Anolis sagrei: one gene and its partners. The protein of the gene in region 2 interacts with the protein of the main gene of each other region in a pairwise test. Links are inferred from orthologs where the notes say so. Each region holds a gene or a part of one and is shown on either strand. Other genes may lie near its edges. The genes, in order: NADK, NUDT18, APIP and RAB3IL1.

Evidence for each region.
Region 1: the proteins of NUDT18 (region 2) and NADK interact in a two-hybrid assay, tested with the Homo sapiens proteins (2 studies listed by BioGRID and IntAct). The two-hybrid records come from large-scale screens. The link is inferred for Anolis sagrei from reciprocal best matches to the Homo sapiens genes NUDT18 and NADK.
Region 3: the proteins of NUDT18 (region 2) and APIP interact in binary tests that used the Homo sapiens proteins (3 or more experiments, as listed by UniProt). The two-hybrid records come from large-scale screens. The link is inferred for Anolis sagrei from reciprocal best matches to the Homo sapiens genes NUDT18 and APIP.
Region 4: the proteins of NUDT18 (region 2) and RAB3IL1 interact in binary tests that used the Homo sapiens proteins (3 or more experiments, as listed by UniProt). The two-hybrid records come from large-scale screens. The link is inferred for Anolis sagrei from reciprocal best matches to the Homo sapiens genes NUDT18 and RAB3IL1.

Annotation. Positions count from the first base shown.
Region 1 is NC_090033.1:1,677,689-1,685,578, forward strand, and holds the start of NADK (NAD kinase), read left to right. Parts: upstream 1-4,507; 5' UTR 4,508-4,685; intron 4,686-7,890.
Region 2 is NC_090027.1:21,780,670-21,788,229, reverse strand, and holds the start of NUDT18 (8-oxo-dGDP phosphatase NUDT18), read left to right. Parts: upstream 1-4,253; 5' UTR 4,254-4,360; coding exon 4,361-4,561; intron 4,562-7,560. Other genes in the region: ITPRIPL1 (inositol 1,4,5-trisphosphate receptor-interacting protein-like 1), read left to right, coding at 1-1,377. UniProt on the Homo sapiens protein: Mediates the hydrolysis of oxidized nucleoside diphosphate derivatives. Hydrolyzes 8-oxo-7,8-dihydroguanine (8-oxo-Gua)-containing deoxyribo- and ribonucleoside diphosphates to the monophosphates. Hydrolyzes 8-oxo-dGDP and 8-oxo-GDP with the same efficiencies.
Region 3 is NC_090021.1:268,821,350-268,829,725, reverse strand, and holds the start of APIP (methylthioribulose-1-phosphate dehydratase), read left to right. Parts: upstream 1-5,177; 5' UTR 5,178-5,294; coding exon 5,295-5,354; intron 5,355-8,376. Other genes in the region: PDHX (pyruvate dehydrogenase protein X component, mitochondrial), read right to left, coding at 3,706-3,847. UniProt on the Homo sapiens protein: Catalyzes the dehydration of methylthioribulose-1-phosphate (MTRu-1-P) into 2,3-diketo-5-methylthiopentyl-1-phosphate (DK-MTP-1-P).
Region 4 is NC_090021.1:237,452,981-237,461,209, reverse strand, and holds the start of RAB3IL1 (guanine nucleotide exchange factor for Rab-3A), read left to right. Parts: upstream 1-4,912; 5' UTR 4,913-5,182; coding exon 5,183-5,193; intron 5,194-8,229. UniProt on the Homo sapiens protein: Guanine nucleotide exchange factor (GEF) which may activate RAB3A, a GTPase that regulates synaptic vesicle exocytosis. Promotes the exchange of GDP to GTP, converting inactive GDP-bound Rab proteins into their active GTP-bound form.

The DNA of each region.
Region 1 (7,890 bases), on a different chromosome or scaffold from region 2:
AAATAAAAAATACATCATTCCTTCTTTATTTGATATCCGCCTTGCTATTCCTTATCGAAGCGACAATTAGAAAAATAGATGATTATGATCCTACAATATCTGCTTTGAACTGGGTTCAAGATGAGTCCACACTGCCATATATTCCAGTTCAAAGCAGAAAATGGGGAATGTTATTCAGCTGTGTGGAAGGGCCCAGAATTGGAAAAAGTAGGAAAGGGTGGGCGGGGTCATGCCAATAATAATAATAATAATAATAATAATAATAATAATAATATAGTTGTATTTCATGTAATATTATTAATAACATTACAATATAATGGTATAGTACAATATAGTAATATATAAGACTGATATTGTACTAGGCTAATAATATAATATATTGTGTGTGTGTGTGTGTGTGTGTGTGTATATATATGAAGTGACTGGACTGACCTTGAAGGAGCTGGGGGTGGTGACGGCCGACAGGGAGCTCTGGCGTGGGCTGGTCCATGAGGTCACGAAGAGTCGGAGACGATGTGTGTGTGTGTGTGTGTGTGTGTATGTGTGTGTGTGTGTGTATATATATATATATATATATATATATATATGAAGTGACTGGACTGACTTTGAAGGAGCTGGGGGTGGTGACGGCCGACAGGGAGCTCTGGCGTGGGCTGGTCCATGAGGTCATGAAGAGTCGGAGACGATGTATGTGTGTGTGTGTGTGTATATATATATATATATATATATATATATATATATATGAAGTGACTGGACTGACCTTGAAGGAGCTGGGGGTGGTGACGGCCAACAGGGAGCTCTGGCGTGGGCTGGTCCATGAGGTCACGAAGAGTCGGAGACGACTGAAGAAATGAACAACATATATATATATATATATATATATATATATATTAGGCCTGGTCAATCCATGGTTCTAAATGTTTCTAAATTACTTACAAAACTAAAGTTCTGGTGGTGAAAATTTCAGAACTCTTAACAAACCTCTCAAAATTTCATTCTAAATGGTAGTTCCTAATTGATTCTATCATAAAAATCACCAATAATGAAATAATAATAATTGAATTTTGAAAGTTTTGTTAGAGTTCTGAAATTTTCACCACCAGAACTTTAGTTTTGTAGACTCTCCTCTACAGTTCCATTTTGGCGCAGCCTTAGTATCGAACGATTGTGTTGTTAAAGTGCGAAGTATGTATTACAGTAAGTCGTAGCAGGATCAAGTGTGCATTAAAGAAAACCCTTATGGTGTTAATTATTTTGTACAGCTGGTAATGTAGGTCAGCCAGCATGTTTGGGGTATAACTGTATGGATTTTAGAATACAGTTCGGAGAAGCAATACGCTACTCTGAGGAAGAGAAGCAATATGCTGTAATGCTGCTACGCTCTAACAGCGATGCTTTGTGCTATGGCGAAATCACTCTTTACTCAAGGCTTGTTCGGGCTAGTTAAGCGCCTTGGACTATTATTACGACGAGACATTTCTCAGAAGTGGCTTTCTGCCCCGTCTTTTGTTGACCTTCCCGAGACAGCTTTGGGCCGCCTTGGCCAAATCTCTGCTTAGAACGGCTCTTGGGAATGTGCCCTTCGGAAATAAATCCCTGCTTAACGGGGCCGGAGAGTTCTCGCTGGGCGTCTTATCCAACGTCTTGCACATTGGTTTTAGTGCCACCGAGATTGGGTAACATAGATCTATCCATATATACATACATAGCATACACAGCGTTGTTTATATATGTATATGTGTAATGTATATGTATATTTTATATATTATATATGTATATATATATGTATACATACATAGCTCCATTTATATATGTATAAGATATATATATATGTATATATATTAAGCACCCTCCCCAATTCTAAGGTGAACCCTATACGTACATAGCATACGTAGCTTCATTTATATATGTATATGTGTAATATATAATGTATATTATACGCACACACATATATATGTATATGTATATATATATAAATATGTATTAATCACCCTCCCCCATTCTAAGGTGCACCGCATACATACATAGCATACATAGCTTCATTTATATATGTACATGTATATTACGTATATATGTGTGTGTGTGTGTGTATATATATATATAATGTATTAATCACCCTTCCCAATTCTAAGATGCACCCCATACATATATAGCATACATAGCTTCATTTATATATGTATATGTATAATGTATATATATGTGTGTGTATGTGTATATATATATATATGTATTAATCACCCTCCCTAATTCTAAGATGCACCCCATACATATATAGCATACATAGCTTCATTTATATATGTACATGTATATTACGTATGTGTGTGTGTGTGTGTGTGTGTATATATATATATATATATTGTATTAATCACCCTTCCCAATTCTAAGGTGCACCCCATACATATATAGCATACATAGCTTCATTTATATATGTATATGTATATATATGTGTGTGTGTATGTGTATATATATATATATATATATATATATATATATCACCCTCCCTAATTCTAAGATGCACCCCATAGCATACATAGCTTCATTTATATATGTATATACAATTATATATGTATGTATATATGTGTGTGTGTGTATGTGTGTATATATATATATATAATGTATTAATCATCCCAATTCTGAAATGCACCCCATACATACATAGCATTCATGGCTTCATTTATATATGTATATATATATATATGTATATGTGTGTGTGTATGTATATATTGTGTATTAATCACCCTCCCCAATTCAAAGGTGCACCCCATACATACGTAGCATACATAACTTCATTTATATATGTATATGCATAATATATAGTGTATATTACACATACACATAGAGTTGGAAGAGACCCCCAAAGGCCATCCGGTCCAACCCCATTCTGCTGGGAAGACACAATCAAAACCCTCCTGACAGATAGCCATCCAAGCCTCTGCATAAAGACAGCTGGCAAGCCGCTGATCCTTTCCTGGAAAGTAAGCCTGAAGGAGTTCATGGCCAAGGCCGCTTTCTTTAGAAGCGACCGGCTGAGCCGTCTCAAAATAGGCCTTCGTGGCCCGATGAGCTGTCGGGCCTCATTGGCATCATTCTGAAGCTCCATCGGTTGTGTTTTCAGAAGGAAAAGCTTTCAGAGTATGTATGCAGGTTGGTTGGAGAGCCATGCTGACATGAAGGCATTGTGAAGAGGTGGAGAAAGGAAGGAAGGAAGAAAAGAGAAAAAGAAGAAAGAAAAAAAGGGGAAAGAAGGTAGGAAGGGAAGGAAGGAAGGAAAGAGAAAAAGAAGGAAAAAGAAAGGAAAACGTAGGAAGGAAAGGAAGGAAGGAAGAAAAAGAAGGGAGGAAGGGAAGGAAGGAAGGAAAGAGAAAAAGAAGAAAAAGAAAGGAAAAACGTAGGAAGGAAAGGAAGGAAGGAAGAAAAGAAAAAGAAGAAAAAGAAAAGAAAAACATAGGAAGGAAAGGAAGGAAGGAAGAAAAGAAAGAAAAAGAAAACAGGAAGAAAGGAAGAATAATAAGGGAGGGAGGAAAGGAAGGAAGAAAAAGAAGGGAAGGAAGGAAAGAGAAGACAGGAAGGAAGAAATATAAGGAAGGAAGGAAAAAAGGGATGATGGGAAGGAAGGAAGAAAAGAGAAAAAAGAGAGGAAGGAAGGAAGAAAAATAAAAGCGGAGGGAAAGGAAGGAAGACAAAGAGGGGAGAAAGGGAAGAAAGGGAGAAAAGAGAAAAAGAAGACATGAAGGAAGAAAAATAACAGAGGGCGGAAAGGAAGAAAGGAGGGAAGGAAGGAAGGAAGGAAGGAAGGAAGAAAAAAGGAGAAAGGAAGGAAGGAAGAAAAGAGAAAGAGAAAAAGAAGACAGGAAGGAAGGAAGAAAAATAAGGGAGGGAGGGAAGAAAGGAAGGAAGAAAAGTAAGAGAGGGAGGAAAGAAAGGAAGGAAGAAAAAAAGAAGACAGGAAGGAAGAAAAATAAAAGTGGGAGGAAAGGAAGGAAGAAAAAAGGAGAAAGGAAAGGAAGCAAGGAAGAAAAAGGGAGGGAGGGAAAAAAAGAAAAAGAAGAAAGGAAGGAAAAGGAGGGGGAAGAAGGAAGAAAGAAAGAAAAACAAGGGAGGAAGGAAAGAAAGGAAGAAAAAGGAAAAGAAGGGAGGAAGAAAAGGAAGGGAGGAAAGGGAAGAGAAAGGAAAGAAAGAAAGAAGAGGGGAAAGGTGTATCAGAAAAGGCAAGAGGAGAAGGAAAGAAAGGGGGAAAAAAGAGGGAGGAAATGCCTGAAGGCGAAGAGAGGAAGAACCCTCCTCCTGGGAGCAGTTTGACTCCCCCTTGGAGAGTGGCACAGCTCAGGCGCGATGGCATCCTGGGAGATGTAGTCTTTGCCCCGCGCTTCCTCCCTCTGCGTCGATGAGGGCCGAGACTACGACTCCCGTGGTGCCACCGCGCTGAGCCCTGGCAGCGGTGCGCATGCGCGTTGGGGGTGGCGTGAGGAGGCGCCCCGCCCTCGGAGGGAGGCGCGCATGCGCAGTGGGCGCGCCGGTCCCTTCCCTCAGAGGGCGGAGGATGGAGGGCGGAGGCGGGCCGGAGTGTTGTGGCTTCCCAGGCCGAGGCCGGCTCACCTGGCCCGGCTGGAGGAGTTGCCGGCGGGCGGGAGGCTTCTGAAAAGGCCCGGGAAGGAGAGCGAGGAGGAGAGAGAGCCAGGCCCACGGTGAGCGGGGCGGGCCCAGCTTGGACTACATCTCCCGGCGTCCCTCGCGGCTGGCTGCCTCGGCAGGGGCTGATGGGAGTTGGAGTCCCTTATCTGGGAGGGCAGGCCTGAGGCCTAGGGAGAGGGAGAGGCCTGGCTGGGTTGGCGAGCCATCTGTCGGGAGGGCTTGGATGGTGTCTTCCTACATGGCAGGACTGTGTTTATCTATCTGTGTTTATCTGTCTGCCTTCTGTCTATCTATTTGTGTTCCCTGTCTGTCTGTCTGCCTGCCTATCATCCATCTATCTATATAGAATGCCAAGAAGCAGGAAAATCTCATTCAAAGCACCCCTGACAGATGGCCATCCAGCCTCTGTTGAAAAGCTTCACAAGAAGGAGCCTCCACCACAATCAGTATGCTTCACAGATTTCTTTCATAGAATCCTAGAGTTGGAAGGGACCTTCCAGTCCAACCCCATCCTGACAAGAAGCAGGAATATTGCATTCAAATCACCCCTGACAGATGGCCATCCAGCCTCTGTTTCAAAGCCTCCAAAGAAGGAGCCTCCACCACACTCCATGGCAGAGAGTTCCACTGCTGAACGGCTCTCACAGTCAGGAAGTTCTTCCTCATGTTCAGGTGGAATCTCCTCTCTTGTAGTTTGAAGCCATTGTTTCACATCCTAGTCTCCAAGTTCACTCCCTCCTCCCTGTGGCTTCCTCTCACATATTTATACATGGCTCTCATCATATCTCCTCTCAGCCTTCTCTTCTTCAGGCTAAACATGCCCAGCTCCTTAAGCCGCTCCTCATAGGGATTGTTCAGACCCTTGATCATTTGAGTCGCCCTCCTCTGGACACATACGTCTATCTATATACCAATCTTATCTTTGTTCCTATCTATATGTTCCTACCATCCGTGGTCCTATCTATCTATCTATCTATCTATCTATCTATCTATCTATGGGTATTCTTATCTGTCTATCTGTCTGTCTATCTATCACGGTTCCTATCTATGCTCCTATCTATCTATCTATCTATCTATCTATCTATCTATCTATCTATCCTATCAGTGTTCCTACCTATGTCTCTATCTATCTATCTATCTATCTATCTATCTATGGGTATTCCTATCTGTCTGTCTAACTATTCCTATCTATCTATCTATCTATCTACCTATCGGTATTATTATCTATCTATCTGTCTGTGTATCACTGTTCCTATCTATCTATGTTCCTGTCTGTCTGTCTGTCATTGTTCTTATCTATCTGTCTATTTATCTAACTAACTAACTAACCCATCTGTTTTCCTACCTATGTTCCTAACTATTTATGTCCCTATCCATCTATCCATCTATCCATCTATCCATCTATCCATCTATCTATCTATCTATCTATCTATCTATCTATGAGTATTTCTATCTATCTGTCTGCCTGTCTAATTGTTCCTATCTATCTATGTTCTTATCTATAGATGTCTCTATCTTTCTGTCTGTCTGTCTATCTATCTATCGGTATTCCTATCTATCTGTCTGTCTATCACTGTTCCTATTTATCTATGTTCCTATCTATCTGTCTATCATTGTTCCTATCTATCTATCTATCTATCTATCTATCTATCTATCTATCTACCTATCCTATCAGTGTTCCTACCTATGTTCCTATCTATCTGTCTGTCTATCTCTGTTCCTATCTATCTATGTTCGTATCTATCTGTCTGTCTATCTATCAATCTATTTATCTATCTAACTAACCTATTTGTTTTCCTACCTATGTTCCTATCTATTTATGTCTCTATCTATCTATCTATCTATCTATCTATCTATCTATCTATGGGTATTTCTATCTGTCTGTCTGCCTGTCTAATTGTTCCTATCTATCTATGTTCTTATCTATCTACCATTGTTCCTATCTATCTATCTATCTATCTAACCTATCAGTGTTCCTACCTATGTTCCTATCTATCTATGTTCGTATCTATCTGTCTGTCTATCTATCAATCTATTTATCTATCTAACTAACTAACCTATTTGTTTTCGTACCTATGTTCCTATCTATTTAGGTATCTATCTATCTATCTATCTATCTATCTATCTATGGGTATTTCTATCTGTCTGTCTGCCTTTCTAATTGTTCCTATCTATCTATGTCCCTATCTATCTATCTATCTATCTATCTGTCTGTCTATCTATCGGTATTCCTATCTATCTGTCTATCACTGTTCCTATCTATCTATGTTCCTATCTATCTGTCTATCATTGTTCCTGTCTGTCTGTCTGTCTGTCTGTCTGTCTGTCTAACCTATCAATGTTTCTACCTATGTTCCTATCTACCTATGTCCCTATCTATCTATCTACCTACCTACCTACCTATCAGTATTCCTATCTGTCTGTCTATCTCTGTTCCTATTTATCTATGTTCCTATTTATCTGTCTATCATTGTTCCTATCATCTATCTATCTATCTATCTATCTATCTATCTTATCAGTGTTCCTACCTATCTATGTTCCTACCTATATATGTATGTATGTATGTATGTGTCTATCTATCTATCTATCTATCTATCCTGTCTATCTATCCTGTCTAATCTATCAGTGTTCCTACCTATCCCTTCTGTTGTGTTTTTCAGTGTTTTGATGAGTGATGGTCACTCCTTGGCCTGAGAGGTGTCTTGTGTCCAGATTTGGTGTCAGTTCGCCCAGTGGTTTTGGAGTTATGTGAATCCCACAAACTAACATTACATTTTTTTTATCTATATAGATTATAACCATGCAATGTAAAAGGAAAGTTGCAATAGATTGAGTGGGCCCGGTGGCCTCGAATGTGGAAGAGTTTTGTCTATTTTTAACTTTGGGCATAAGGGGTGGATTAATCAAAGTTACATAAATCAAGAGCCGTGGAAAAGAGCCACACAAGTGTGTTTATCTAAGTTTATTTTCCTCCTGTTTCTTATGACTCACTGCCTTTGTGGCATGAATTTATTTCGGAGCATCGGATGGTTGTAGAGACAAAGGTTTTGGTAACCGTTATCCTCATGTGGTGCTTTATTTTAAAAGTCTGGTACCAAATTTTTATATAGCTTATAATATAATGTAATGTAATACACCATATTTATGTATCCTTCCAATAAGAATAAAGAGAGTAACATAATGTAATAATAATAATAATAATAATAATAATAATAATAATAGAGTCAAATAATGGAAATGTAATAATAACAATAATAG
Region 2 (7,560 bases):
AAGCAGGAGAAATTTGTGAAGCCTGACCTGCCGGTGGAAGACGGGACCTGGGATGGTTGGCCTTACGTGGGCCTCATCATCCTTGTTGTCTTTGGCTGCTGCAGGCACACGATGGAAAAGGACACCCATTACGATTCCAGCACGGATGGCTCCAGCACGTCCACCACAGATGAATACGACGACGACACGGACATGGAGCCGGAAGTTGGCAAACCCAACCAGAAGAAGCTGGAGGCCTTCTATGACTGCTATATTGGACTGGAAAACGGCGACTTGAAGAACGTGTGCGATTTTGTGGAGACCTTCGTCAACGATTTGTTGGATGAAGGTCGGAAAACCCTTCCATACCAGAACACCCTTCCTCTAATGGAGAACTGCATCGGAGTGGGCAGCGCCTTTGAAGGGTGGCACATACAACGGCTGTCGAAACCCTTCACTGTCCTGGTGCCCCTCCTGCCGCCCAAAGGCCATTCCTTCCAAATTGAAAGCAGTGATGCTGAGGGTGGACCCAGCAAACATGGCCACATTTTGGTGGAGATGGACTGCGTTTGCAAGAGGCAGCGGCTCCTGGGTGACGTGGTGTGCTTCCTCCACCACCCAGACCGGGATCTGAGTGAAGAAGGCGCATTCCTCCTCCACATTTTGTGCACCAGTTCCCACTTGGATGTGGGGAAGACCATCCGCTGGTACCAGAATTTGGTGGTCAAGGCTTGGAGGAACCTCCGTGAGAGGTACACCCTCGACCTCACGCTCATGCCGTCGGCCACAACATGCCGGTTGAAGCTGGCCTTCCACTCTGGGCGTTCTGTTCTGGTGGACATCACCCTCGGTGTCCAGCAAGGAGACTCCTTGGTCTTCCTAGTCACCCACTGTGGAGACGCCAACCCTACCAAGGGCACCATTTGGCTGAAGACCTTCGCTGTTCAGGAACTGCTCTTCTTTGAATGGTTTGGCCAACGGGCACCCGAATGGAGCTGTCACTTGAAGTGTCTCCAGATCCTGATGTATCTCAAGGGTTCTGGTAGTCCGTCCGGTAAGAACCCTGTCCTCACTGACTACCATTACAAGACTTGCTTGATGCACCTCTTGCTCCTGCGGCCGGTCTCCGACTGGAACCCTGAGAACCTGGCAACGAGGCTCCAAGACATCCTCTTGTTCTTGCACACGGCAGTGCGGGAGAAATATCTCGAGCACTTCCTCATCGGGAACATCTCGTTGCCGATCCAGATCCCGATGCCACAAGTCCTCCGGAGTGCTGAGCCCCTCAATCTTTTTGATCACTTGGCAGCCAACAATGGTCTCCATGCCAAAGCCATAAAGGAAGCCACAGAGATCGTGGAACGGGTGAGGGCCCTCTACTCAAAGCAGGAAGAGTAGCTTGGGTCAGCTTCATTCCCAGAGTCCCATCGAGGAACCATAGAGCCCAATGGCGGGGAAAGTGGTTGATACTGCTTCCAATGGTTCTGAACAAACTTGAATTAGACACACAAGGGAGCGATGGTACCACTGAAGAGTGATCCAAATTCGGCTGTTTTCCTAAGTCATGCTTTACGGATAAGGCAGATAAAGGGTTTCAAATCAATGTCCTTGCAGCAGCTATGATTCTGTATTTTTATATACCCCAGTTCCTCACATATTTGTTCTATTAGACTTCAAATAAAGGCTGGACAAGCGGTGTTCTCAAATTTTATTTCAATGTGGTTTGATTTATTATACACCATCTACTTTCCCAATTGAGGAGCCCCTGGTGGCACAGTGGGTTAAACCGCTGAGCTGCTGAACTTGCTGACCGTAAGGTTTAAATCTGGGGAGCAGGGTGAGCTCCCACTGTTAGCCCCAGCTTCTGCCAACCTAGCAGTTTGAAAACAGGCAAATGTGAGTAGATCAATAGGTACCACTCGTTTACATTTACCTTTAACTCCCAAGGTCTGCTCTGGCAACTATAGGAAAAGCTGTAATTTGGGGTGCATTTACACTGCAGAATTAATGTAGTTTGACATCGCTTTGGCCCCCTCTAAACTGCCATATAATCCAGATGATCAAAGCAGATAATCCACATTATCTGCTTTGAACTGGATTATATTTATTTATTTATTTATTTGCTACATTTATATACCGCCCCTCTCAGCCCGCAGATGACTCAGGGCGGTTTACAGTTAACATCAAAGCATAAGAATACAATAAAAACAATTAAAATAATATAAAATCAGAAGGTTTTAGGAAAAGAGACAAAGAGAGTTCCTGACGTCTGGAAAAGCACGGGTTTATTTCCAGCTGGGACTCTGGAGTGGAGCTGTGTCCAAAAACACTTAAGAGTGCCTGATAAAGGCGTTGACTGCCTTTTTGTACACTTCAAATGCAGGCAAACATGCATCTACATACACTGACATCATTCTCTGCAGGAGCCCCCGGTGGCGCAGTGGGTTAAACCCCTATGCTGGCAGGACTGAAGACCAACAGGTCGCAGGTTCGAATCCAGAGAGAGGTGGATGAGCTCCCTCTATCAGCTCCTCATGTGGGGACATGAGAGAAGCCTCCCACAAGGATGATAAAACATCAAATCATCCGGGCATCCCCTGGGCAACGTCCTTGCAGACGGCCAATTCTCTCACACCAGAAGCAACTTGCAGTTTCTAAGGTCGCTCCCTGACACGACAAAAAAATAATAATTCTCTGCATCACTTTAGCATCACAGAAATATCAAATTCTATCTTCCAACATACAAAAGGCATGTCTCTGTATTTCTTTCTAAAGAGCAGCATACAGCCTACATCCATCAATCAAGGGGCCTACTTTGACCTGTCATGAGGAAGAGATAGGCTCCTTACTTAGCTATAGCCTGGGCTCGGTGCCACTAGGATGGGCTTATCTCTCCCCCCACCCTTTAATGTTCACCTCCCTCTTGCTGTGCCTGGACGCAGCTTGCTTGTCCTGTCAGCTTGAATTTCTGATACAGAGAGAACTTGATACATTTCAGTGCTTGTAAAGTACACAATTTATACATAAACAAATATCTATATTTCTAATATCTCCCCATCAAATCTACACTGCCATATAATCTAGTTCAAAGCAGATTATCTGGAATGTCTATGTAGAAGTGTAGAAGTGGCCTCATAAAATCCAGTTCTTATAATCACAGTAACCCAGAACAGCACCTTGTTGGTCAGCCAATGGGGAAACTAGGAGGTCTTTGTCCAATGAGAAGCGAGGAGCGCTTTCAGTCTAGCCCAGGCCTGGGCCAACATGGGCCCTCCACCAGGTAGGCGGTTAGGAATGGTGGGAGCACTGTGGTGGAAATAAAGGGGGGAAATGTTTGAGCAAAACAATAAAATAACATGTTAAAGAGTGTGTTGTACAAAATGTAACAGTAATAACAATTGTATATCAAATGTAGTAATTGTGATAAATCAATAAAAATTATTATCTCTATATAAAAAAAAGGAATGGTGGGAGTTGAAACCCAAAACACCTGGAGGGCCCAAGTTGGCCCAGCCAATGGGGAGATGAGGAGCACTTGACTCTTCACCCTTAGGCGATCCCTCGTTGGACGAGTAGGCTAGTCTTCCATCCATGACCAGTATTCTTGTGGATCCGTTGGTGGCTGTGGAGCCCTGTTCTTGATCTGCATGTTCTCCTGCAGTGAGGGCATTGGTTTCCAGATGGAATGCAGTCCTGGTCGGGGTTGGCTTGACACGCCTTCCTCTTGGCACGTTTCTCTCTTTCACCCTCCATTCATGCCTCTTCAAATTCTGCAGCACTGCTGATCACAGCTGACCTCCAGCTGGAGCGCTCAAGGGCCAGGGCTTCCCAGTTCTCAGTGTCTATGCCAGAGATTTTAAGGTTGGCTTTGAGCCCATCTTTTAATCTCTTCACCCAACTGGGAAGCGATTACCACTTTGTTCAATGAGGAGTGAATACCGCTGAGCTGTTACCCCAATGGGTACGAGATGAGCGTTTCGTCCAATGAGAAGCGGGAAGCGTTTTACGTCCAGCCAATGGGGAAGCGAGGAGGGTTCGACTCTTTACCCAATGGGGAGGAGAAGAGCGCTCCGTCCAATGAGAAGCGAGGAGCGCTTTGCGTCGAGCCAATGAGTAACGAATAGCGGGCCCCAGGCAGGCCACGCCCACCGGACGCCAGTGGAGAAGGCCACCGAGGGGAGGGAACAAAGCGGCCGTCGCTCTTCATTGGACAAAGCGCAATGCGCTTTGTCCAATGAAGAGCGACGCCCGCTTTGTTCCCTCCCCTCGGTGGCCTTCTCCCTTGGCGTGCGGTGGGCGTGGCCTGCCTGGGGCCCAGGGCCTTCGCGGGCGCCGCCTCCCCGCGCGAGAGGGCTCCGGGGCGCGTGCAGAGGGCTGCCAAATGCGGAAGGCCGGGGCGGGGTCGATGGCCGGGGGCGGGGCGGGCGCCGTGGCGGAGGTGGGGGCGGTGCTGGGCGGGCAGGGCTGGCCCTTGTCCTCGGAGGGCGGCGGGTACGACTCGGCCCCGCTGGAGCCCCCCGAGAAGGCCCGCCTCCGCAGGAACACCACCTACATCGTCCTCGCCGTGCTCCTCAACGAGAAGGTGGGTGCCGCAGCCCAAGTCCTCCCCCTACTAGTGCCAGAAAGGGGAGGACTGCCACTCCCATCACCCCCCACTTCCCAGTCATCAGGCTGATGGGCCTCCTAGTGCTAGAAAGGGGAGGACTACCACTCCCATCATCCCCCACTTCAAAGTCATCAGGCTGATAGGCCTCCTAGTGCTAGAAAGGGGAGGACTGCCACTCCCATCACTCCCACTTCCCAGTCATCAGGCTGATGGGCCTCCTAGTGTCAGAAAGGGGAGGACTGCCACTCCCATCACTCCCACTTCCCAGTCATCAAGCTGATGGGTCTCCTAGTGCCAGAAAGAGGAGGACTGCCACTCCCATCATCTCCCACTTCCCAGTCAACAGGCTGATGGGCCTCCTAGTGCCAGAAAGGGGAGGACTGCCACTCCCATCAACCCCCACTTCCCAGTCATCAGGCTGATGGGCCTCCTAGTGCCAGAAAGGGGAGGACTACCACTCCCATCATCCCCCACTTCCCAGTCATCAGGCTGATGGGCCTCCTAGTGCCAGAAAGGGGAGGACTGCCACTCCCATCATCCCCACTTCAAAGTCATCAGGCTGATGGGCCCCCTAGTGCCAGAAAGGGGAAGACTACCACTCCCATCACCTCCACTTCCCACTCATCAGGCTGATGGGCTTCCTAGTACCAGAAAGGGGAAGACTACCACTCCCATCACCCCCACTTCCCAGTCATCAGGCTGATGGGCCTCCTAGTACCAGAAATTGGAAGACTACCACTCCCATCACCCCCACTTCAAAGTCATCAGGCTGATGGGCCTCCTAGTAGCAGAAAGGGGAGGACTGCCACTCCCATTACCCCCCACATCAAAGTAATCAAGCTGATGGGCCTCCTAGTGCCAGAAAGGGAAAGACTACCACTCCCATCACCCCCCACTTTCCAGTCATCAGGCTGATGGGCCTCCTAGTGCCACTCCCATCACCCCCCACTTCCCAGTCATCAGGCTGATGGGACCCCTAGTGCCAGAAAGGGGAGGACTACCACTCCCATCACCCCCCACTTCAAAGTTATCAGGCTGATGGGCCTCCTAGTGACAGAAAGGGGAGAACTGCCACTCCCATCATCCCCCACTTCCCAGTCATCAGGCTGATGGGCCCCCTAGTGCCAGAAAGGGGAGGACTGCCACTCCCATCACCCCCACTTCAAAGTCATCAGGCTGATGGGCCTCCTAGTAGCAGAAAGGGGAGGACTGCCACTCCCATCACCCCCATTTCCCTATAATCAGAAAGCCCCCCTCCGATTATTGGGAAGCCACTTTCCATCAGTGGGCCTGGGATGATGGGAGTTGTAGTGCTCCCCTTTCTGGCACTTCAGGGCCCATAATCTCCCCCTCTTTCCCTCCTTACTCTCCTAAGAAGCTACTTTTAGGCGAGAGAGGAAGGAGGGTATGGATGCTGGGAGTTGTAGTCCTTCCCCCAAAAGGAATAACTTTTCTTTTGGATCCAGAGGAAGACGAGCCCTATAGTGCCAAAAAGGAGAGGACTTCAACTCCCATAATCCCAGTGTGTGGGTGGGCAGGCAATGATGGGAGTTGTAGCCCCCCTCTAAAATGAACTGGAAGCTACTTTGGGAGCGGGGAATGGATGCTGGAATTTGCCATGTCTCCTTCGAAAAGAAGCACTTCCATAGGAAGGATTTCCCTTGGGGATCCAGGGGATGATGTTCCCTGCAGTGCCGGAAAGGGGGGGACTGCCATTCCCATCATCCCCCATTTCCCACCGAAATGGGAAAGGGGGCTCTCGCCGGATTCTTGGGAAACTACTTCCCATCTCTTTGGGAGGTGGTTGATGGGAAATGTAGTCCCCCTCCAAAGGGAGCTCTGGTGCCATTGACTGTTTGGCAAGGGGATGCTGGGCCTTGCAGTGGAAGAAAAGAGGCCTTCTCGAAATTGATGCTGCTTTGTATCTCATTCAAGACCTAAAAGTGAGATATGATGAAATGATGATGATGATGATGATGATGATGATGATGATGATGATAGGCTTAAGGGGGATGCTGGGTACTGCAGTGTAATAAGAGTGCTTCCTCTTACTTGAGTCGGGAGGAGAGGTAGGCAAAAATAAAATTATCCATATAAATAAAAATGTAATGTTTGTTTGTGAGATTAACAGAACTCAAAAACCACTGGACGAATTGACATCCAATTTGGACACAAGACACCTAACAACCCAATGTATGTCCTTCACTAAAAAAAAATGATTTTGTCATTTGGGAGTTGTAGTTTGCTGGGATTTATAGTTCACCTACAATCAAATAGCATTCTGAACTCCACCAATGATGGAATTGAACCAAACTTGGCACACAGTTCTCCCATGATCAACGGAAAATACTGGAAGGGTTTGGTTGGCATTGACCTTGAGTTTGGGAGTTGTAGTTCACCTACATCCAGAGATCACTGTGGGCTCAAACAATGATGGATCTGGACCAAACTCGACACGAATACTCAATATGCCCAAATGTGAACACTGGTGGAGTTTGGGGAAAATAGAATCTTGACATTTGGGAGTTGTAGTTGCTGGGATTTATAGTTCACCTACAATCACAGAGAATTCTGAACCCCACAAATGATGGAAATGGGCCAAACCTTCCACACAGAACCCCCATGTGGGCCACAGCAACGCGTGGCAGGGACGGCTAGTTATTAATAATAATACCATGCTGATTGGTGGGGAAAATTATTATTGTTATTAGGAAACTACTTGTCATGCTGATTGATGGGGGAACATTATTATTATTATTATTATTATTATTATTATTATTATTATTATTAGATTGGCCCCCTCCCTCCTGACCTTCTGTAAGAAAGTGAAAATGTGGCTCTTTGATCAAGCCTTGGGAGAACTGTGTAACAGACAGATATAGAATTATGTGTAAGGACTACTGGAACGACCCGGCTTATGATTATGAACAGCATGATGTAACTGTGGTAATATTGGTTTAATTGTTTTTAAATGA
Region 3 (8,376 bases), on a different chromosome or scaffold from region 2:
CCATGTTCTAGAAGAATTATCTTCTGATATTTTGCTTGCATATCTCACAACGTCTGAGGAAGCCTGCCATAGATGCAGGCGAAACGTCAGGAAAGAATGCTTCTAGAACATGGTCATACAGCCCGAAAAACCTACAACAACCCAGTGATTCCGGCCATGACAGTCTTTGGCAATACATTATTATGCTAGCTTTTCAATCCATATTTCAGAGTCTCAACCAATTCAGCACAGTTTGTGGCAAAGTGTCTTATAGAATAGGTTGTGTTTAAAGTTAATTTTAATTGTTACATTATAATTTGTCTTTGTATGCTGTGTAGTTTCAATTTTAATTGCTATGTGTGAATTAATTATTATGTTTAGGCATTGAATGTTTGCCTTTTTGTGACTGGAATCTGTCCTGAGTCCCTACGGGGAGATAGGGCAGAATATAAATAAAAATTATTATTATTATTATTATTATTATTATTACTACTACTACAACAACTACTACTTTCAAAGTAAGTACCACACAATTAAACAGGAAATAACACTTTCAAACTAGGGGCAGATTTTTTTTAAATTTAATTACATAGTGTTATCATCATTATTATTACAGAATTATAAACTGTCAAGGTGCACACTAGGCATGGGCAAACTTGGGCCCTCCAGATGTTTTGGACTTCAATTCCCACAATTCCTAACAGCCTCAGGACCTTTCCTCCCCCCCCCCCTCCCCCAGCTCCTTAGCTGACTGAGGGGGGAAAGGAAAGTGCCTGAGGCTGTTAGAAATTGAGGGAGTTGAAGTCCAAAACACCTGGAGGGCCAAAGTTTGCCCATGCCTGATCCGTGAACATGAAAGGCCAACTGTAGAGTTTGCAATATCTGGTCGTCTCAGACCAATATCACAGCACCATTGGTAGTTATCACATGCCTTGAAGTTGTTTGTGACCTATGGTGACTGAAAGGTTATGCTATTTCAGGATTTTGGGGGTAAAAGATTAGTTCAGAAGAGGCTTGCCATTGCTTTCCTCTGAGTGTGACTTGTTTAAGGTGTGAGTGTGGCTTGTTTAAGGTGATGTTCTTAGGTTATTTTGTCCAACACTTCACTGAGGAAAATGGGGATACATAGTTGTGTATTTTGTAAGTACCAAACAATTAAACAGGAATTAGCACTTTCAAACCAGGGACAGAATTTTTTTTAGTTTAGTTACATATTTGAGAGAGCCTTCTCCATTGTGGCCCCCCAACTTTGGAATTCACTACCTAGTGAGATTAGGCAAGCCTGGCAGCTTTTAAGAAAGACCTTAAAACTTGGCTCTTCCAATGTGCTTTTGGTCAGTGAACATATATTCCATATCCTGTTTGTTCCAACTACAGTTCTGTCCTCATGATCCACTTTCCCCTGTCCTTAATGAAAGTTTAACCCCACTCTTTTGAGCCCTTCCCTCAGAAACACATTCTCCCACTACTATCTCATCTAAGGTTTTATCAATTTTTATCCCATGCATTTGGCCCGCCCATTGTGTTATATTTCTTTCTTGTTATTCTGTAACTATTTTATTTAGCTATTTTATACATCTTATTTTGATGTTATTTTTGCTTTGTTGTATTTTATTTTGCTGTATTGTAATCCTGGGCTTGGCCTCATGTTAGCCGCCCCGAGTCCCCTTTGGGGAGATAGTGGCGAGGTATAAATAAAGTTTATTATTATTATTACTAGCGATCCCCTGCCACACATTGCTGTGGCCCAGTTTGGTGATTTGGAAAATAAAGTAATGAGAAAGTGTTGGTTTCTAATATATGTAATTTCTTTATGCTTGTGGGTAATCGGTATTTCTTGCTGTTTCTTTGTCAGTGTTGATTGGGAGATTGTCTGGTTTGCCTACTCTGGAACATGCAACATATAATTGTCCTACTTTAGGGCCCCCTTTCAAATCTATGACACTATATGTGTGTGTGAATCATATCTATCTATCAATATCTATGGCTGGATGGCTCTTTGTCAGGAGGGCTTTGATTCTGTTTTCTTGCCCTGGTGAAGGGACTTGGACTGGATGGCCTTAAATTGGTCATGGGGGTTCTGTGTGGGAAGTTTGCCACAAATCTGTCTTTGGTAGGGTTCAGAATGCTCTTTGATTGTAGGTGAACTATAAATCCCAGTAACTACAAACCCAATTGTCAAGGTATATTTTCCCCAACTCCACCTGTGTTCATATTTGGGCATATGGAATATTAATGCCAAGTTTGGGCCAGATCCATCATTGTTTGAGTCCACAATGCTCTCTGGATGTAGGTAAACTGCAACTCCCAAACTCGAGGTCAATGCCCACCAAACCCTTCTAGTGTTTTCTGTTGGTCATAGGAGTCCCGTATGCCAGGTTTAGTTCAATTCCATCATTGGTGGAGTTCAGAATGTTCTTTGTTTGTAGGTTAACTATAAATCCCAGCAACTACAACTCCCAAATGACAATTTTTTAATTTATTTTTTTTAGTGATGGTCACTCCTTAGGTTAGTAGGTGTCTTGTGGCCCAATTTGGCGGCAATTCATCCCGTGGTTTTTGAGTTATGTTAATCCCACAAACGAACGTTACATTTTTATTTATATAGATTATTATCATTATCATCATCATCATTATTACAAAATTATAAACCGTTATCGGTGTAGGTGATAGTATGATAGCTGGGTCCGGGTGCTCCGATTGTTACGCACATTCTGCAACAGCAGTTATGAATAAGGAAAGGGGAGAGCAGCACACTGAGGGCGGGAATATACTTCAATTTGGTGGAAAGATAGAAAGGAGAGGAGGGTTAGGATAATGTTTAGAGTAAGGTTTAGGATTTGGGGTAGAGTAAGGATTAGGATTAGGGTTAGAATTAGGCGTAGGGGTTAGGCTAAGATTTAGGGTTTGGGTTAGGATTAGGGTTTGAGTTAGGATTAAGTTTAGGGTTAGGGTAAAGTTTGGGGTAAGGGTTTGGGTAAGGTTTAGGGTTTTACCATTAAAGAATTCTTACATTCCTTCTATAATATCTGTGTTCCGTTCTGCGTTGCGCAAACAGCACTCCCGAAGGAGCGAAGCAGAAACAGCGTAACGCTCAGAGCTTCTGGACCCAGTGTTCATACTATTACCTTCCTAACAGCCGATGCAGAAGTCCAAAACACCTGGAGGGCCAAAGTTTGCCTATGCCTGGTGTATACATTGTTTATTGATTGATTTATTGATTTATTTCTGGTATTTCTACCCTGTCTCTTCTCTACACCTGGAGGGGGTCTCAGGATGGCTTATATTTGGCATTGATTCGATGTTGCTACATATAAACAATTACAATAATGTATTGTCGAAGGCTTTCATAGTCGGAATCACTGGGTTGTTGTAGGTTTTTTCGGGCTATATGGCCATGTTCTAGAGGCATTTTCTCCTGACGTTTCGCCTGCATCTATGGCAAGCATCCTCAGAGGTAGTGAGGTCTGTTGGAACTGGGAAAACAGACCTCACCTCTGAGGATGCTTGCCATAGATGCAGGCGAAACGTCAGGAGAAATGCCTCTAGAACATGGCCATGTAGCCCGAAAAAACCCACAAGAACTCAGAAGCTATTTCTTTGCCGCACACACAACCTCAAGGCTCCCTTTTGCTTCCCTTTCAATGACATTTCTGCCTGACATTCCCCCAGGAGTGAGACTGCGGGCAAAGGGCCCATTTCACCGCTCTCTAGCAAGGCACTCACCCAGAAGCTCCTGAGTCCTGTGCAGAAACCTGCCCCGCATCTCCCGAGGCGGGCAACGCAGGATCCCTCGGGAGACACTGCTGCCCAGCCACAGCTTGGCCGCTCCTCTGCTGCAGCGGATGAGCCACAAGGAGGCCGCCATCTTTCCCTCTCCCGCCGCCCTCCCGCCGGGGCTGTCTATCGCACTGCCTGAGAGGAAAAGGCACCAAGGGGCTGGCCTCCCTTCCGCCTGCACAAAACTCATCCTCCACTGTCTGCACTCAGTGTGCAGTGGGGACACTGTCTACCCGGCATCCGAGAAGCAAAACGTTTTCCTCTCATTGAAGGAGGCTTCCTGCACTATAAGTTACTATGTATACACAATGGCATCACAATACCATGCCAGGCAAAATGATAACAACCAACGGGTGAAGCTTCCCCAACACTATTTCTCTGCTGAAAGAATCACAGAGTTGGAAGAGACCTCATGGTCCATCCAGTCCAACCCCATTCTGCCAAGAAGCAGGAAAATTGCATTCAAATCACCCCCGACAGATGGCCATCCAGCCTCTGTTTAAAAGCCTCCAAAGAAGGAGCCTCCGCCACACTGAAGGGCAGAGAGTTCCACTGCTGAACAGCTCTCAGTCAGGAAGTTCTTCCTAATGTTCAGATGGAATCGCCTTTCTTGTAGTTTGACAGCGTTTCTCAACCTAGGGGTCGGGACACCGGGGGGGGGGGGGGGTCGCGAGTGGGTGTCACAGGAGTCGCCGAAGACCACCAGAAAACACAGTATTCCTGTTGTTCATGGGGGTTCTGTGTGGTAAGTTTGGCCCAATTCTATCGTTGGTGGAGTTCAGAATACTCTTTGATTGCAGGTGAACTATAAATCCCTGCAACTACAACTCCCAAATGTCAAGTTCTGTTTCCCCCAAACTTCACCAGTGTTCACATTTGGGCATATTGAGTATTTGTGCCAAGTTTGGTCCAGATCTATCATTGTTTGAGTCCACAATGCTCTCTGGATATAGGTGAACTACAACTCCCAAACTCAAGGTCAATGCCCACCAGACCCTTCCAGTATTTCCATGGGAGTTCTGTGTGTCAAGTTTGGTTCAATTCCACCATTGGTGGAGTTCAGAATGCTCTTTGATTGTAGGTGAATTATAAATCCCAGCAACTATAACTCCCAAATGACAAAATCAATTCAATATCTCATCACTCTAGAGAATGAATCCACTTTAAATCCTATTGTTGCAGGATGTCCCCCCAAAACATAGTTTTGCAGTTTAAAAAACCGTTTCCATGTGTTTATGATAGACCCAAATGGCATTTATAACCCAGGAACACAAATCGTATTCTATAGTGTAATGCTGTGTTTCCCAAACGTTGGTCTGCCAAGCGTTTTGGACTTCATCTCCCAGAATTCCTACTCGTTGCCCAAGGCAGCTGAGGCTTCTGGGAGTTGAAGTCCAATAAACTTTTAGCACTATAGTCTGGGATTCGCCTATGCAACTGCGTCAGGAGCAGGAAAGGGCCGGGGTCTTCCTTCTCCTTTCCGATTTCAGCAGCCCAATAGGAAGAAGGAAGGGCAGCTGCTGAAACCTAGCTCTATGGCTGAAGCCCGGGGGGATTGCAGCTGTCCCTGCAGGAACGGCTGGGAGAACGCCAAGGTAACGAGGAAGGAACTTGTTTCGGTCTCCTTTCGGCCCATGCAAGCTGGGGAGAGAGGGGCTTCATCATGAATTTTAAACTTGTGTCCTGTGTTTTAATCTCTGTTTCTGTGTATTTTAGTATGTCTTAATATGTTTTAATATGTATATTTTATAGAAATACATTTAATACATGCATTTATAGAATATTTACAATGTTTAAAGGTAAAGGTTGTCCCACGCCTTTAAGTTCACTTGTGTCCAACTCTTTCCAAACATGCCATGTTGCTGACATGCTTTTTTAGACGTGTATTGTTTCAAAACTCCATTTCTAAGCAAAAGAGCCGGCGTTGTCCATAGACACCTCCAAGTTCATGTGGCCGGCATGACTGCAAGGCGCGCCGTTACCTTCCTGCCGGAGTATTGATCTACTCACATTTGCATGTTTTCAAACTGCTAGGTTGGCAGAAGCTGGGGCTGACAGCGGAAGCTCACGCTGCTCCCCGGATTTGAACCTGCAACCTTTCGGTCAACAAGCTTAGCAGTTTAACCGACTGCGCATTGTTTATGCATTGTAATTATGCTGTAACCTGCCTCCACCCACTAGGAGAGGCAAGTAAAAATAATAAAATCATTATTATGAAATTGTGCCTTTAGAATGATTAAGACCTGTTGTCACATTTGGCCTTTTAAAAAAAACCCTCTGGAGATCAGTTTGAAAAATCAAGAAACTTTGTAGTAGTATTGCTCTCCTTCAAGTCCCCCATTAATTTTCATAGGATTTCCATAATAGACAAGGGATACTCAAGAGGGAGTTTGGTTCCCTCTGAAATATATCTTAGTCTATTCCAGCTTTCCAAACATGTCATGTTTCTGACACACTTTTTTATTGTTTTAAAACAGCTTTAGTAGCAAACAAGAGGTTAAAGTTCAAAACAGGCAATGTTTTGAACTAGGTTATATCTGTTTTGAACTAGATTATATGAGTCTACACTGCCATATAATCCAGTTCAAAAGGGTGTAGATGAACTACAATTCCCAAAAAATCATGGGCTAATCACCTCAAACCCTGCCAGTATTGGCCAAGTTGGGTCTGTATGTCAAGTTTGGTCCAGATTCGTCATCGGCTGGGTTCATTGCTCTCTGGATGCTGGTGAACTATAACTCCCGGATTCCAAAATCAATCTCCCCAAACCCCATTAGTATTCAAAGTTGGCCAAGTTACATCTGTATGTCAAGTCTGGCACATATTCGTTGTCGGTTGGGTTCAGTGCTGTCTGGATGCTGGTGAACTATAACTCCCGGATTCCAAGGACAGTCACTACCAAATCCCACCAGTATTCAGTGTTGACTGTTTTAATTTTTTATTGTTTTATGGGCCAAACATTCAACTAGTAAACCTGTAGATACCACATAAAATCGGGGAGTGCCCAATGGGGTAACACTCCCCCTTAAGACACAGGTCCACACTTTGGGGGTCCTCCTGGACTCAGAACTGACACTTGACACTCAGGTGTCGGTGGTGGCAGGGAGGACCTATGCACGATTGAAGCTTGTGCACCAACTTTGATCATACCTCGAAAAGCCAGAACTGGTCACGGTGGTCCATGCCTTAGTTCCATCTCGTATGGATTACTGTAACGTATGGATTACTGTAATGTAGGGCTACCTCTGAAGATGACTCAGAACAGGCATGTAGCCGGGGGGGGGGGGGGGGCTCGGGGGGCTTCAGCCCCCCCCCCCCGAAATTTTCATGGTGGTTCGCGAAAAGGCCTTAATGGTGCATTATTTAAACTGTTATGTTTATTCATATCATGATCTGATCACCATACTCAATATATCCCATATGCATGGGGGTATTGGGGTAATGATACAAAAGGTTTCACTCAGACTCAGCCCCCCCCCCCCCGAAACCCCCCCTGAAAAAGTTCACCCCCCCCCCCCCCGAAACGAAATCCTGGCTACGGGCCTGACTCAGAAGCTCCAATTAGTACAAAGATTGGCACCCAGGTTGCTGACGGGGGTGGGTTATACAGATCATACAACTCCAACCCCCACCCCACCCCCCAAGCAGCTTCACTAGTTGCCTATTTGTTTCTGAGCCCAATTCAAAGTGCACGTTAGTACCTAAAAAAAAACTCTGCAGGGCCCAGGTCCTGCCTATTTACGTTACCACATCCTCCCATATAAATCTGTTTGGGCCTCACGATTGGCTGAGGAGGCCTTCCTCTCGGTCCCACCTCCTTCACAAGCGAGGCAGGCGGGGATGAGGGAGAGAACCTTCTCAGTGGTGGCCCCCCAGGGACTTGAGGACCTGGTTATTTAAACAGGCTTTTGATAGTGATTAGTCAATCTCTAGGATATGGACTTAGTAGCAAGCAGCAAGCCCCTTTTAGCTCATAGGAATGAGTGTGTTTTTAATCTAATGTTCATAATTTTATTGTTAATTTTTGTGACTTGATTGTGCTGTATTTTGTGTTTTATATCGATGGATGTGTTATTGTTTATTCCATTTTATGATTTTTATTGTATTGCACTTATTGTATATTTATATCGTAAGCCACCCCGAGTCCCTTGAGGAGAGGGAGCGGGATATAAATAAACTTTATTATTATTGAAATCCAGACTATCTGCTTTTATGATTTTGATTACCTTCCTAAATGCAGGTTGACAATAACAGATTGGCAGGTAGTTGATGATTCTCTTTTGAGGGCCTAATGAAACACTAGATTGAATGTATGCTGGGAAAAACAGTGCTTCATACTGTTGTTCTGCACCTTCACATCATTTCTAGCTTTGTTTACATCTGTACTGTAGAATTTTAATGCAAATTGACACCACTTCAACTGCCATGGCACAATGCTATAGAATCATAAGAGTTTTAGTTCCATGAAACACAAGCACTATTTGGTAGAGAAGATGAAAGATTTCGTAAAACTGCAACTTCCATGATTCCCTAGCATTGAACCATAGCAGTTAAAGTGGGGTCAAACTGTGTTAATTCTACAGTGTAGATACAGCCTTAGACTAATCTATCACAGGG
Region 4 (8,229 bases), on a different chromosome or scaffold from region 2:
TCATTTGAGAGAGCATAAAACTGAGGGGACAGGAGAAAACACCCACAAAAGTCCCAAATAAGAACACTGAGGACCTGCACCATACTGGCTCTCTTATATCTACATTAACCCATATAAGTTTCCATGCAATTGAAACTTCAAGAGCAATGTAGTCCCCTAAAAACAAAATCTTGAAAGGGCTGCATATGTTCCACAATACAGATAGAAAAAAGTTTTGACTAAAAAAACCACTTGTTGGAAATATCATGCATTTATTTCTGTTCTTGCTATATCGGGTGTTGGCTTTCATGGGCTTCTTAATGTCTGTGCAAAAGAATTCTAAATTTTTCATTGTAGAAGCATGAAGGGAGGTGGATATATTTATTATTAATAGTTTTGTGCATTTCTTGTGTTATTTTTTATGTCAACCCTATGGATGAGAAACCTCCAACCATCTCTACTCAGGCCTTGTAAATCAGGGCAGCCAGGGTTTCTTTGACTGAGTCAATCCAAGTGTAGTGTGATTTTCCTGTTTTCCTACTTCATCTCACTTTCCCCGGCATATTATATGTTTTCTCACATTTCATGCCTATGAGGAGGTAGACTGCTATTAATGGAAGCTTCTATCATAATAAATGTTTTAGTTTTTAAGGCAGCGGTGGGCCTGAGATATTTATTTATGACATTTCAACCCCGCCTTTCTCACCCCAGAGAGGACTCAAGGCAGCTTTACATACAGGCAACAATTCAATGCCCAAAAACACAATGTATATTTAAATAAATATTAAAATAGAATTTAAAAATACATTAAAACAATTAAAACATTTAAAAACTATATATTAAGAGTTAAACACATAATCCACGAGCATAATCCGGGCCATTCTAATGATCATTGCACATAAACCCAAGTCCATCTATTGCACAAGTTCTTTAAAGGCTTGGTCACAAAGCCACATTTTCACTCTCTTGTGGAAGGTCAGAAGTGAGGGGGCTGTTCTAACATCACTAGGGAGGGAGTTCCACAGTCAAGGGATCACCACTGAGAAGGCCCTGTCTCTCATCTTGGTCAATCATGCCTGCAAGGAAGGAGGGATCAAGAGCAGGGGCTCCCCAGATGATCTTAAACTCCACAGTGGTTCATAGAGGGAAATACGTTTGGACAGATAAGCTGGGTCAGAACTGTTTAGGGCTTTATAGGCTAAAGCTAGCACTTTGAATTGTGCTCGGTAGCAAATTGGCAGCCAGTGAAGCTGACGTAACAGGGGGGTTTTATGCTTCCTGTATGCCGCTCTGGTGAGCAATTGGGCTGCCACCCGTTGGACCATTTGGAGCTTTTGAACCGTCTTTAAAGGCAGCCCCGCATACAGCACATTGCACTAGTCTATTCGAGATGTAACCAGAGTGTAGACTACTGTGGCCAAGTATAACTTCCCAAGGTACGGGCGCAACTGGCGCACAAGTTTTAATTGTTCGAACGATCCCCTGGCCACCGCCGAGATCTGTTGTTCCAAGCTCAGCAATGAGACCAGAAGAACTACCAAGCTGTGAACCTGTGTCTTCAGGTTGTAACCCTATACGCTGTTCAGCTGTTTGTTGTTGTACTGCAACTCATGGAAATGCCTAGGTACTATAGCCAATGGGTTTAATGTGGGATCAAGGGAGAGACAGCTCTCAAACTGAAAAGCCCCGGTTTTCCTCAGTTTTGGCTTTCCATTAAACTCTATCTGGGCAACAGATCACAAAAGACAACTCTTGCAGTGAATTACCCTTCAAGGACATCTTGATATACATGTTAACTGCTTACAGAGCAATACCTGCTGCTACTTCCTTCCCTGCTCCTCTTTATTGCTGTAATAGCCAAAGGCCAAAGAAGAAATTGCCAAGCATTGCTCAAAATCAGGAGAAGCCTGCTTCTGTTCTTGGGAAACTCCAGGAGCCATATGGATGACCAAAAAATGAGAGATATGGGGTGTGGCTGGAAGCCTGCTTTCTAGCATTGAAAAACAAGTGTTTGACTTCATATTGAATGGGGGTGGATGGGTCAATGGGAGTGCAACCTGTTTCAAAGGCGAGCTGCTGCTCCTGGAGGCTTCTCTGGGAGGCTATTTCTGAATTGTTGTCAAATGAACTTCGACTTATGGAGAGCCTATTCTTGAGTGACTTCTGTGTTCCCGTGCCATCTTTCAGACTCAGGACAGCCATGGCTTGAATCTATCCATCTGAAATGGGGTCTTCTTACAGTCCTCCATTTTGTCAAGCACTGCTGTCTTTCTAATGCGTGAATTCTGGATGGCCATCTGTCAGGGGTGATTTGAATGCAATATTCCTGCTTCTTGGCAGGGGGTTGGACTGGATGGTCTATGAGGTCTCTTCCAACTCTTTGATTCTATGATTCTTCTCCTATGTCCAAAGTAGGACAGCTTCAGTTTAGTCATAATACATAAATAAAAAAATAAATTGTATTTTTACCTGTTTCTCCTTATGGCTCTTGGCAGGGCACAACACAGTTAAAATATATTATCATAACATAAGTTTTATGAAAACTTATATTAAAACTTATTTTTTACAAAATGCACATATTAGAGTATAGAACAAAAATTAAAATACAACAAGCATAGAACAGTCCTCCAGGCATTTTGGACTTCAACTCCCACAATTGCTAACAGCCTCAGGCCATTTCTGCTTAAGCGGATGAGGGGGGAAAGGAAGGGGCCCAAGGCTGTTGGGAATTGTGGGAGTTGAAGTCCAAAACACCTGGGCTGAAGTTTGCCTGGACCTGATATAGAATGTGAATCTAAAATTCATAGTTAATAATTGCCTGCTGGAAGAGATGGGTCTTCAGAAGTGTCTTGCATTCTGACAACTGACTGAGCTGTCAAATATCTTCCAGCTGCTCCTCTTTTGGACAGCAAAGGAAAAGGTCCTCTTGGATGCACTATCTCTGTGAGTGCATCTACACCAGGCCTGGGCAAACTATACTTTGTTCTAGTGGGTTTTTTCGGGCTATAGAGCCATGTTCTAGAGGTATTTCTCCTGACGTTTCGCCTGCATCTATGGCAAGCATCCTCAGAGGTAGTGAGGTCTGTTGGAATTAGGACAATGGGTTTATATATCTGTGGAATGGCTGGGGTGGGGCAAGGAGCTCTTCCCTGCTGCAGTTAGGTGTGAATGTTTCAGCTGATCACATTCATTAGCATTTGAAGGCCTGTCTGAGTCTGGGAACATCTCTTGCTGGGAGGTGTTAATCTGTGCCTGGTTGTTTCCTCTCTGTTGTTTTGCTGTTGTAATTTTATAGTTTTTTTAATACTGGTAGCCAGATTTTGTTCATTTTCATGGTCTCTTCCTTTCTGTTGAAATTGTGCACATGCTTGTGGATTTCAATGGCTTCTCTGTGTAGTCTGACATGGTGGTTGTTGGTGTGGTCCAGCATTTCTGTGTTCTCAAATAATATGCTGTGTCCAGGCTGGTTCATCAGGTGCTCTGCTATGGCTGACTTCTCTGGTTGAAGTAGTCTGCAGTGCCTTTCATGTTCCTGGATTCTTGTTTGGGCACTGCGTTTGGTGGTCCCTATGTAGACTTGTCCACAGCTGCATGGTACACAGTAGACTCCTGCAGAGGTGAGAGGATCCCTCTTGTCCTTTGCTGAACATAGCATTTGTTGGATTTTCTTGGTGGGTTTGTAGATTGTTTGTATGTTGTGTTTCCTCATCAGCTTCCCTATGCGGTCAGTGATTCCCTTGAAGTATGGCAGGAACAGAGTCAGGAGAAATGCCTCTAGAACATGGCTCTATAGCCCCAAAAAACCCACAAGAACCTAGTGATTCCAGCCATGAAAGCCTTCGACAATACATTAAACTATACTTCCTTTCACTTAAGCATCTGAGGGGGGAAAGGAAGAGGCCTGAGGCTGTTAGGAATTGGAGAGCTGAAGTTGGCCCATGATTGATCTACAGAATATAGTATAAATGCAGTTTGGCACTACTTTTGTTATCGAGCTCTTTTTTGGGGTCCTCCCAGCGAGGGAGATCCCAGAAGACCGCATCACTTTTACTGCCATGGTTCAATGCTCTGGAATCCTGGGAGTTTCAGTTTAGCAACTCACCAGCACTTTTTGGCAGAGAAGGCTAAAGACCTTGTAAAACCACAACTCTTGGGTGAAAAGGAATCCTGTGAGGGAAAGGCTTAAGAGGCCCTGGAACAATGTGTTGTCGAAGGCTTTTATGGCCGGGTTGCTGTGAGTTTTCTGGTCTGCATGGCCATGCTCCAAGCATTCCCTCCTGACGTTTCACCCACATCTATGGCAGGCATCAGAGGTTGTGAGGTCTGTTGGAAAGTGATGTTTATATATCTGTGGAATGTCCAGGGTGGGAGAAAGAACTCTTGTCTGCTTGGGACAAGTGTGAATGTTGCAATTGGGTTGTTGTAGGTTTTTTGGGCTATATGGCCATGTTCTAGAAGCATTCTCTCCTGAAGGAGAGAATCAAGCTGCAATTGGCTAGCTTGATTAGCAATGAATGGCCCTGCAGCTTCAAAGCCTGGCTGATTGCTGCCTGGGGGGAATCCTTTGTTGGGAGGTGTTAGCTGGCCCTGATTAATTTTTGTCTGGAATCCCCCTGCCAAACGTCAGGAGAGAATACTTCTGGAGACATGGCCATACAGCCCGGAAAACTCAGAGCAACCCGGCCCTGGAGTAGTGTGGTGGGAGTCTCTTTCTCAGGAGATATTTTAAAGCAGGGGCTGAATCCAGGCCATTTGTCAGGAGTATCCCAGAGGGTTGGACTAGATGGCCTTTAGTGGTCTCTTCCCAGTTTAGGATTCCGTTCATGAGTGGATAGAGTGAGAGAAGGGGGGTCACGTGAAAGCGGGGGGGGGGAGAGCTTTCGGGGAGGTCACGTGACCTCTCCTCCTCCTCCTCCTCCTCCTTTCCTGCCCCCTCCCCCGCCCATCCCTTCTCCTCCAGCTGCGGAGGCGTCCGAGCAGCTGGGCTGGGAGGGTTTCCAGCGCCTGCCGCAGCGGCTCCAGGAGGGGAAAAGCCAAGGCAAGCGGGCCGCCCTGCATTGAAGGCGAGCTCTGCGCTCTGCCTTGCAAGGAAGGAGACCCGACCATGGCTATGGCTATGGCTATGGCTATGGCTGCGGCGGCGGCGGCGGAGGCGCCCTCCTTCTCTTCCTGAGGCTCCGGCGGCCACGTCCTTGGAGGCAGCATGTGGCGCGGGTAGGTGCTGCGGGTTAACGGGGAGGGTGGCAGAAAGGGCACCGAAGGGGGCTGCTTCCCCGGGGCCTTTTGGCCTGCCTTCTGCTCTGCACCAAGGAGGGGAGGCTTGGAGAAAACCCGGTGCGGAGGTTTTACAGCTTCAAGGGTGCATCTACACTGCGGAATGAATGCAGCTTGACACCACTCTCACTGCTGCCCTTCGCTTTCCCTCCAAACCACAGGATTCCACAGCAGAGCCGTGACAGTTCAAGTGGTGTCCAATCGCTTTCCTTCCACAGTGGAGAGCACCCCAAAGGGCAGCAGGGACCACTCTGTCTTCCAAGTCGCATCTCGCTTATGGTGACCCTCAAGCACCCCGTCACATTAGTTCTCATCACACTAGAGAACGAATCCACTTTAAATCCGGTTTCTGCAGAATTCTGGGAATTGTAGTTTAGGGAGGAACCTTTAACAGCCTCACTAAACTACAAACCCCAGAATTCTGTAGGAGGCAGAAACCAGTTTTAAAGTGGATTCATTCTCTAGTATGATCAAGTAGCTTGACACGATTTCTTCCAGAAGGTGTTTGCAGTTCCCTTCCTTGGGCTGAGAGAGAGTGACTCACACAAGGTCATCCAGTGGGTTTCCATGGCCCACCAGTGGTTTGAACCCAGGTCTCCAGAGTCATCATCCCAATGTTCAAGACATTTTGTCACACTGGCTCCTCTGTGGGTTGGGATTGTGGACAGAGGCGGCCCTAGGTAATTTTCAATGGTAAGCAAACAGTATTTTGGCACCCCCCCCCCCCCAACCAATCACTGATGTATATTTTCTGTTCGTCGTGGGAGTTCTGTGTGCCATATTTGGTTCAATTCCATCATTGGTGGAGTTCAGAATGCTCTTTAATTGTAGGTGAACTATAAATCCCAGTAACTACAACTCACATATGTCAAGGTCTATTTTTCCCCAAGAGTGCCTCAAGAGCGCCCCTGGGCAAAATCAACTATGCTGCAAATGCTTACTTTGCGTAATGGGTTGAGCCACCCCTGATTGTGGATGTGGGAGACTTTTCCCCGCCTTGCTTTGCACCCTCCCCATTCTTTCCCATGCTATTCCTCTCCTACTCCCCAACTTCTATTAGTTCAAGCCTGAACCTGATGGGCAAAGGTCACCCAAGGATGGGTGGGAGGCATGAGACTAGAAGTTGCAGATGAAGGGTCTACCTTCATTCTACCTGCCAAAATGCTAAAGACCCTCAGGCACCCCATCACAAGGTTTCCTAGACACGATTTCTTCCAGAAAGCATTTGCAGTTCCCTTCTTTGGTCTGAGAGAGTGTGACTCACACAAGGTCACCCAGTGAGTTTCTGTGGCCCAGCAGAGATTCTAACCCAGGTCTCCAGAGTCATAACCCCAGCATTCAAGTCTCACACTGGCTCCTCTGTGGGTCGGGGTTGTGGATGTGGAAGACTCCTCCTCCTTTGCTTTTCATACTCTCCATTCTTTGCCATACTTCCTCTCCTCCAAAGCAGAATAGAGGGGTAGCATTACTTCCCTAGATCTAGGGAAGTAATGCTACCCCTCTATTCTGCTTTGGTTAGAGCACACCTGGAATATTGTGTCCAATTCTGGGCACCACAATTCAAGAGAGATATTGACAAGCTGGAATGTGTCCAGAGGAGAGCGACTAAAATGATAAAAGGTCTGGAGAACAAGCCCTATGAGGAGCGGCTTAAGGAGCTGGGCATGTTTAGCCTGAAGAAGAGAAGGCTGAGAGGGGATATGATAGCCATGTATAAATATGTGAGAGGAAGCCACAGGGAGGAGGGAGCAAGCTTGTTTTCTGCTTCCCTGGAGTCTAGGACGCGGAACAATGGCTTCAAACTACAAGAGAGGAGATTCCATCTGAACATGAGGAAGAACTTCCTGACTGTGAGAGCCATTCAGCAGTGGAACTCTCTGCCCCGGAGTGTGGTGGAGGCTCCTTCTTTGGAAGCTTTTAAGCAGAGGCTGGATGGCCATCTGTCAGGGGTGATTTGAATGCAATATTCCTGCTTCTTGGCAGGGGGTTGGACTGGATGACCCATGAGGTCTCTTCCAACTCTTTGATTCTATGATTCTATTCTATGAACCTGGAAGATCACTCAAGGATGGGAAAAAGGCTTGGGACTAGAAGTTGTGGATGAAGGTTCCTTTTAGTTAGCTGTCTTCTAGCTGCCAGAATGCTAAAGACCCTCAGGCACCCTGTCACAAGATTTCCTGGACATGATTTCTTCCAGAAGGCCTTTGCAGTTCGCTTCCTTGGTCTGAGAGAGTGTGATTCACATAAGTTCAACCAGTGGGTTTCTGTAGCCCAGCAGAGATTCGAACCCAGGTCTCCAGAGCCATCACCCCAAGGTTCAAGTCTCACACTGGCTCCTCTGTGGGTCGGTGTTGTGGATGTGGTAGAATTTTCCCCACCTTGCTTTGCACCCTCTCCATTCTTTTCCATGCTACTCCTCTCCTCCTCACCAACTTCCACTAGTTCAAGCCTGAACCTAATGGGCAAAGATCGCCCAAGGATGAGTGGGAGGCATGGGACTAGAAGTTGTGGATGAAGGATCCTTTTATTTAGCTGTCTTTTAGCTGCCACAATCACATGTCCATAGCAGGAGGAGATCGATAATCTGGTCTCCAGAAGTTTGACCCTCCAGTTGAATTCTGAAGAAAAAGTAAACACACCATTCAGAACTGTTGTTGTGGAGTGCCTTCCTGTCATTGTGATTTAGTAGTAAAGGTAAAGGTTTTCCTCTGACATTAAGTCCAGTCGTGACTGACTCTGGGGGTTGGTGCTCGTTTCCATTTCTAAACTGAAGAGCCGGCGTTGTCAGTAGACACCTCCAAGGTCATGTGGCTGGCATGACTGCATGGAGCGCCATTACCTTCCCACCGGAGCAGTACCTAGTGATCTACTCACATTTGCATGTTTTCAAACTGCTAGGTTGGCAGAAGCTGGGGCTAAGAGTGGGAGCTCACCCTGCTTCCCGGATTTAAACCAGCGGCCTTTCGGTCAGCAAGT